2 linked regions of the Schizosaccharomyces pombe genome follow. The protein of the gene in region 1 binds, or shares a complex with, the protein of each later gene. Each region holds a gene or a part of one and is shown in the gene's direction. Other genes may lie near its edges.

Evidence for each region. Proteins that work in one complex are often made in the same cells at the same time.
Region 2: SPOM_SPBC3H7.04 (region 1) and mrps18 share a complex: the UniProt entries of both Schizosaccharomyces pombe proteins name them as parts of the mitochondrial small ribosomal subunit.

The regions. Positions count from the first base shown.
Region 1 is NC_003423.3:1,874,080-1,878,398, reverse strand, and holds SPOM_SPBC3H7.04 (mitochondrial 37S ribosomal protein mS42), read left to right. Parts: upstream 1-1,617; 5' UTR 1,618-1,839; coding exon 1,840-2,502; 3' UTR 2,503-2,745; downstream 2,746-4,319. Other genes in the region: SPOM_SPBC3H7.05C (uncharacterized protein), read right to left, coding at 2,867-3,940. UniProt on the Schizosaccharomyces pombe protein: Component of the mitochondrial ribosome (mitoribosome), a dedicated translation machinery responsible for the synthesis of mitochondrial genome-encoded proteins, including at least some of the essential transmembrane subunits of the mitochondrial respiratory chain.
Region 2 is NC_003424.3:4,965,801-4,970,068, reverse strand, and holds mrps18 (putative mitochondrial ribosomal protein subunit S18), read left to right. Parts: upstream 1-2,206; 5' UTR 2,207-2,312; coding exon 2,313-2,846; 3' UTR 2,847-3,079; downstream 3,080-4,268. Other genes in the region: tma23 (ribosome biogenesis protein), read right to left, coding at 64-177; gab1 (Pig-U family GPI transamidase subunit), read right to left, coding at 470-1,304, 1,532-1,923; SHREC complex subunit Clr2, read right to left, coding at 3,180-4,268. UniProt on the Schizosaccharomyces pombe protein: Component of the mitochondrial ribosome (mitoribosome), a dedicated translation machinery responsible for the synthesis of mitochondrial genome-encoded proteins, including at least some of the essential transmembrane subunits of the mitochondrial respiratory chain.

The DNA.
Region 1 (4,319 bases):
AAAAATGGTTACTAAAACCGATGTATTACGGTTAGTTGTATTACAAAAATTTATTTAAAATGTATGTTAGTATGTCATCAATTATTCATGCTTCTTGTCCTTGATTATTGTTATATATCTTTTGAGCGCACATCAAATAAATTAAACGGATTGGTAATTACAAAACAGACATGCTGAGTTTGTGTAAAAATCATCGCTAATTCTAGGTGGTATATTTAATCTATCCTATAGAAGAAATTACCTTTACTCGTTAGTAATGTCTCGTACCATTGACACAGTCTAATACATTAGCAATTAAAAAAGACTGTGGCATGGCCTGTAAAAAATACGCATCTAGCTCTTATTTTGGATAAAAATAAATAAATATGTGACTTACTGAAAAAATTGTACCAGGGTCAGATGAAACGTTGAAAATTATTCGCTTATAGCCCTGATCACTAATGGCATGTAATCCAAAACTAGTGGATAGTGAAACAATCTTCTATTTTAACTATAACCAGATAATATTAAATTTAAAAAAAGTATCCGTAATCCATAAATCACTTGTTACTGTTGTGTAGAGCCTGAAATTGCAACAAGACCGGGCTTGGCAGCATGTATGCATACTTGGGTTATTCCGTCTAAGTTTCAGCAGTTCTTCCTTAATATAGTAGTAATCTTTTTGTCTCAAATCCCATATTTCTTCTAGCTCAGCCCCAATGGTAGGTATTCTTCAAAAACATTTGTATGCAGCTAGTTATTCCCTATTTCGCTTGTAAGCATATGAAACAATCCCAGTAGCCTCGGCTAAAAATAACCTTAAACTTTTTTTTATTGCCAAAGCAGCTTTTTGAACGATGAAAGAAATGAAGCTTCGAAAAAAATGCAGTGCACTTACAATTTTAGTTAACTAAAACTAAAAATAAATGGTAGATGTTTCCAATCCATGAACGGTGTTATGAACCTGTATCAATTCCTAATTAATCGTTAGCGTATGGTTTCATAAACGATTAATCACGAATGTTTAGATCAAATTTGAGTAAGCTTTTGAACAATTAGGCTGCAATCTAAACGGTTACATAAAAAATTTGAGGGTCTCTTGAATTACTGAGACAAAAAAAAAAATCGGGCTGTTGTGGGAATCGAACCCACGACCACCATCACCCTAAGATGGTATCATACCACTAGACCAAACGGCCACAATTGTCATTTATAAACGTTTAACATATTTACAGTTCTTTCACATAAAAGTTGTGATCATTCGAATATTAAAGTTATTTTTCTTCTTCTCAAGTCAATGAATCTTCTTATAAAAGACGAAGTAAATTTGATTGAAAATGAGTCATACAGCTTACTTTTAAATTGAATCATGGTCATATTGGGAATAAAGGCTTTTATAATCCACCGTTTAAACCCGTTGAACGCTTTAAGATTACTTTCACAATTTTTTTTGGGAAACTTGTTAACAAATTCATTGTAATACTAGTTAAGTTTCAACGAAGTTTTAGATTTCTGTTAATTCAACTTCAAAAATTTATATAGTGGTATAATGGTATATATCGCAACAAGGAATGCAGAACTTTCATACCGATATTTTACTTGCGCCAGTAGGGCTGCTTACCTCTCTCTGAGCGGTCTGAGTGGAACGCCTTTACCAATATTGAAGTTGAAATATTTCAAACATTCAAAAACGTAGCATCTACACTATTTGATTTTCATATTTTGTTAATACTTAATGAATTAATTATACAGTTTGGTCGTCTTTGCCAATTTCTTAGGATTACAAAATTTAAACCCGCATACTTGATTTCCATTGCAGTTTTTTATACCCATTCCCTAACTATTACCTCAATTTAACAAATGAGTTTTCAACAGCGCTTCGCCAGAGCGTTGGACGTGGGCTACAAGAATTTTTTGTCAAAAGATGCGGTCAGGAATATCTTTGCTTATGACAACCACTTACGAGGCCTAGTACAAAAAGAATGTAAAATTCATCAAACTCCGTATCGTGTGCCTTCAGATTTAATGGTTCAAAGCGCTAGTGACCCAGCCCGCGCTAATTTATTCAATTACTCTAGCCAATTGGTAAATCATGATTTTTTCTTTTCCGGCCTTATTTCTCCAGAACGGCCCTCTGCAGATGCAGATTTAGGAGCTATCAACCTAAAGCCTGGAATTGATGCATCCTTCGGTTCATTTGGTGAGTTGAAGTCTCAAATGGTTGACGTTGGCAATTCAGTTTTTGGTGATGGTTGGCTGTGGTTGGTATATAGTCCAGAAAAATCTTTATTTTCCTTATTATGCACGTACAATGCGTCAAATGCCTTTCTTTGGGGAACAGGATTTCCTAAGTTTCGTACCAATGCAATTGTACCGCTTTTATGCGTTAACCTTTGGCAATATGCGTATCTTGACGACTATGGTTTAAATGGTAAAAAAATGTACATTACAAAATGGTGGGATATGATCAATTGGACGGTCGTCAACAATAGATTCCAAGCTACGCGCATTGAATCCCTTTAGCTAACCCGACTGAATCCTGCACAATTTTCAATCTTTTTCTACTTCTCTCCCCTCCTCTCCCGGCTACGTTTTGTATGCAAGTGATCATGGTGGCTTACTATGGGTTCACTTTATCTGATTGAAAAAACCCATACTATTAACAAATCTTATAAATAAATAAAGTTTTGTAATTACTGTTGGCAAAGAATGAGAATTAGAATGCTAAATGTAATGTTTCCCTCTATATATTATTTAACATTCCAACAATATCTACGGAAAAGTTAATTTAGTTGAACCATCCATTAAATGTATAAACTAGGACACATAGCAATTATCTGATACTTTAGAGGTTTCGGAAGGTCAAACATAGACATTAAACAGTAAATTAAATTTGCGAGCATGTTTTCCACTTAAATTTTAATAATACGACTCCCATACCATATGTTCCATTAATAAGCATTTCGATTATTAGGACCCAATAATGATATTTGCGCAAGAGGGGAATCCTTTTTTCAAGATTAATAAGGAAAGGTTGAATTAAAAGCTGAAAAAAGAAAGCAGGTGAACAGCGTCCAGAAATTGACCAATAGGCAAAGTCATGGAATAATGCTGAAAGGAAAAAACATGAACAACTTGCCAGAAACTTACTTCCAGTGAGGGCAATAGTTGGATCCCAAGCAATCACTCTGAAATAGGGCTTGGTACAAACATGCCAATCTCTGGACCAAAAATCATTAACCGAGGTGGTTTTAGATACATTTCCCATCATTAATGGATACTCTGCAATATCCCAAATTCCCAGAGGAACAAAAATAATGGCGAATAAATAGTACAAGGCATTAATAAACAAATATGAAAAGAATCCAGAGGTTACGCAAAATGCGACTTGAATATACCATGGGTTGGCTGATATAGGAAGCAACATCCAATTGGATAAACGAGTTTTAAAACAATTGACAAAACAAAATGCACCCACATAGACAGCAGTACGTATCCCCAAAGATTTGTAAGTCAGCACTTTTCTACAGTAAGGGGGAACCACGTCGTCAGTCCAACCATACTTGCGCAAAGAAAGTGCATAATCAACAAAGTTCCACCTAGCGTTACGAATGAATGGTCGACGACGCTTAACAGCGCTGATTTGTACAGGATCGTTGCGAGAAGGTACCATATCTCGCCAACTCAAAAAGCAAGTTCGAAGCGACATCATAATGAGAAAGCCATATGCCAAACCAAATGTAGAGACATCCTTATAACCAACATGGTGATAGACAGCACACATGCGATACGCCAGTATAACCGTGATGGAACATAACAAAGTGCAGGCGATTTTCCACCGGCGAAAAAAACAAAAGGTTTCGACAAGGTATGTAGCTAAAGGGAATAGATTGAACAGAAGGATGTTATAAATACCTGTGACTGGAAGTTTGGAAGAAGGATCGAAAGAAAATGGATACATGAAAGTAATTGAATTTTAGATCGTGTTCGTAGATGATCAAACGCCGAAAACTTTATAGTGGAGGAATAGGAAAGGAAGAAAAGCAAAAAAGTAAGAAAGAAAATTCGCAGTTAAAACAAAAGTGAAGAAAAAGAACAGATAGGGTAAGACAATACAAGCAACACTAGACGAGACAAGACAAGACAAGGCGAAACAATAAGAAAAGGCAAACCACACTCTATATAACTATGAGACTTTATTTACAATCAATCAGTCAACCGACAAAAATATGAAAAAAAGACAATAATGATAAAAGAAAATGACAAAATGCTTATTGAAAGAAACAAAGAACAACGATGATGATGATGATGATGATGAAGGCAAAGAAAAAAAAGTGTTA
Region 2 (4,268 bases), on another chromosome or scaffold:
AAATTCATACATAACTTTACTGAAAAAACCCATCTTTTTCTAAGATTTTTTATTCTGACATACCCCATGAGTATTATATTTTCTAGAAGTTAAAATTGGTTTGGTGAGCCCTCCTTCTTTTAAAGCGTTTCCTTCCTCCCAACCAAAGGAATTCAAATATCTTTTGGAACTAAACATCAATGGCTGATGAAGTTTTGCATAAAACTTTTCATGGGTACTTCGTGGTAAAGGGAGTAGTGCCATGGGATGCCATGAATACCTAATATGAAAAAAAATAAAAAAAGTCCTTGAATCGTCTCGGAAAAGGAAAAAAATATGAAATATAAATTTCCTATTTGTATGTATGAATAAATAATTTCTAAACGTTAAATTGGAAAAGGTCGTTTCGTAAGGTCAGAAAGGTGAGGCTCTAATGATGAAATTGGATAGATGAAGCCTAAGAATATCATTTTCTAATTAACAGATTACTTTATTGAACCTGTTTTAATGGAATATTTTCATGCTGTGGGTGATTGGCATACCAATCAACCAAAAGCAGTGCCTTGAGAAAGTCCATGATTTTTAAAGAGAGTCCAAGAGCAAGAATGAGGTTACTTGCGTAATAAAAATTTGCATTTCCACATCCAAGAGTTATCCAAGAATGGTAAAATGCAGATCCCAGTACAAGCGCAAACACAATAGCATTATTTGTAAGCAAGCTATATCGCATTCGGTCTTGGACTTTATTAAAAATTGGGAGGAGAGATAAAAATATTGAAAGATCACAAATACTTGGGTAAGCTTTGAATAAAGAATGCAGGCCAATAAGAGCAATAGTAATAGGCAAGGGCAGATAATAAAGACGGATCGAAACAGGGAGAACAAACATCAATGGTAAAATGGCAAATACAAAAAGGAAGAATGTGCGAAATTCATTGAACATTTCTGTAAAAAAATACCACCAGAGACCCAAATTCGGAGTTAGATCATGAGAGTCCAAGTATACCCTAAATGGAATTTTCAAAAAAGATAACGAGTTCAGAAAGAAGCCTGAAGTTATTATCAGACCTGCAAGATAAAAAAGAAAAACAACGAATATCTGACGAAATTTAATGGATGAATTGCATTTTCTTAAAATAAGATAGGAGGGGAAAAATAACAGTAAAGCGTTAGGATTAATGAATACAGTCAATGCCATACAGCATGCATAAATTGCATAGGATCCGCAAGAGGCGAAATAAATGGTCATTAGAGTGGTGAAATTAAGTATCATGTCTGCGGAGCAAGCAATTCCTGGAAGAAATGTTAATGGGTTAAGCAGATAACTAAAGTAATATTTTGTTAGTAAATTTTGAGTTAAGGATACTTGTTTGCGACACAAATATATCACAGAAGTACACATTTTCAATATCGACTACGAAATCTGTGTAATCAACGCAGTTCAATCTTTGAACAGTCATCGTTAACAATTTTGTAAACCAACGATACAATGCTTTTCATTTTTTTGAAGAATGTCTCACTTTTTTTGTCGCAAGCCATATGCGTAACTTACATGACGGAAATCCATAATGGTGAACAAGTAGATAGTACTTGATTTGGGTCTAAAACACGAGCTTGTTTTGCAATTAAATACACAAAGAGACCTCCCATAGTAGAAATGCTAGTATAAACAAATCTGGTGACAGATATTCCTCCAAGCAACTCACAACAATAATTTAAGATCAGTAGAAGTGGAGACTGATAGAAAACACCACCAGAATAGGGGTCTAGTCCGTTTTCATACAAGTAAAGTCCTTCACGAACACGTAAAAATCCGGATACAGGCGTCGATACTTCGATTCGCCTGTAAAGGAATTCAGCAATCCAAGTGTTTGCTAAATACCATTGAAGAAAAAAAGAAATTGATAATAAACCTAATAGTTTTAGCTTCTCATTTGGTATCATTGCAAAATCTTCACTGTTCAAAAGATGGGTTATATTTGTGTTTTCAATTCACCAATCTTCGTTTAAATTACAGTCGTTGGGTATCCCAAATGATCCGTTTGAAAAACTTTTAAGGCAGCCACCAAAGTAAGATTTTTAATTTTTTATTTCTTTATTTTTTCTTTAAAACGAGAAGAGTGTTTTAGGTTAATATTTACACGTTCATACCACTACCACAGGTTGAGTAACATAAGTTACCTGGTATAGAAATTATGGTATTGAAGCACTCGGTTACTTACAATTTGTCATTTTTCATTTCCTTTACATTTTCATCCATATTTTTTAGTTCTTTGATTTTATTTTTGGTTTACAAATCGGTTCTTAGCAAGCTATTTTTCATCAAATATCTAATGCTTAATTTAACAAAAGTTGGACTACGAAGATTTTGGAGCCAGAGTCCTAGGCGGAATGCGCCCAAAAAGGAACTCTCTTCTCTTTTAGAATCCACAATCACTCCAAAAGCTTTTTCAAAAAGGACGGAGGAGCCAAATCCGATTATGCAAGGTACGGATACCATTCCAATGCCATTTTACCTTCATGCCAAATGTTTGAAGAACAACACTCACATTACACTTTGTTCTCCTGAAAGAAAAATTATTTTTAGGGCCTCTGGAGGAACCTGTGGTTTTCGTAAAGGAAAGCGCCGTGGCTACGATGCTGCTTATACCATTTGCTCCAAGGTGCTGGAACAAATCCAAGTAAAGCGCCTTGGTATTGAAAATTTGCATGTTATATTTCATGGTTTTAGTCAGGCCAGGGAAGCAGTACAAAATTGTTTATTAGGGCAAGAAGGTGCCGTAATTCGAGACAAAATTGTAAAGGTTATGGATCGAACACCTATTAAATTTGGAGGACCGAGAGGTAGAAGGGAGCGACGCATATGAAGTATGTTTATATTACTTTTCTGTTTTCTTCGTTTACGTAATCTTCCTGTGCAGTTAATCTGCTGCCCAACATTGTTGGTGCTTTTCCACCGTTGTATTTGACCTTCTGAACTTAGAAATGATTTATTAATACCGGTGTGATAGTGCAACATGATTTCTTAAAAAAAACTATATCCCATCTCTAATTCAACACAAATAGTTTTTACCTATCTTTCTCTGTAATTTATGAAATGCAAAAGACATTATTATTCCCATATTATTTACATTATAAATAATGACCGTCACTGATCAATAAGTAGACACTTCTATATCTAATTTTATCTGCCATACTTATTACATTACAACTGCTGACACCATATCAATTTCAGACAGTAAATATTCATAAAAATCGTCATCGACCCAATTTTCAGAGCCTACTGCTGATAATCGACTGGATGTGCGTTCTTTCACTTCTGAAGTGTAATTTAAATCTCCTTTTACGAACCAAGGCTCATACCATCTTCCCAAAACATCTGCGAATGGGCAGACGTACTCGACAGATTTATCATGCAGGCAACGAAAATATGTGTTTGATAGTTTTGATACCATTTGTAATCTTCTTGGTAATTCTTTTAAGTCATCCTTATGTTCATCAATATTGTCAGCGCTGTCATTATAATCGAGTGCATTTTTGTCAATTTGTGTCCATAGTGAGCCTTGGAAACAGACAATGTCATCTTCGTTTACATAAATATCAGATATGTACATAAAACTTGTTTTTTGAAGTACAGATGGCAGTGAAGATGTGGATATAACACATAAATCATTAATCCATAGTTTTTCGGCTCCACGGAAAATTCCGTAAAAATGATCATCTAAACTATTTGATTCACCCCCAAAGGTTGGTAAAACTGTGAGAGGGATGGAATAATTTTCGTCGTGGAACTTTGGTTCTTCCATATCTATACCTTCTAGTGGCTGGAAGATACCAAATAGGTTCCACGTTTGACATATAGAATGAGCAACTAGATGTTCTTGTTTTTGTAAATCGAGTGGATGCCGGGACCAAGGCTCAATATCTGCAGCTGCCATGTCAAAGTAATAACGAGAGTTGCCTAATTGTTTGCAATGGTATTGATATGGTTCCACAAAAGTATCAGATATTAATTTGACAGCATCCATCTGGTTACTTTCATAGTTTATTAAGTTCCGAGCCACTATAATTGCTGGAATGAGCTCATTATTTATGTCAATCCATACCACTTCGCCAAGGCGATACGAAGAAGGCCAGGTGTATGTATCATCCTTACATTCATGGAACATCCGTTCATTTTCTTTTTGGAGATTTTTGCGTACACGCGTCATATTACCAGAACACAGAACGCAACAGCAGGTAGACTCGTTACGGGTCAAATCTGATATAAGCCAATACAAATGATGAAG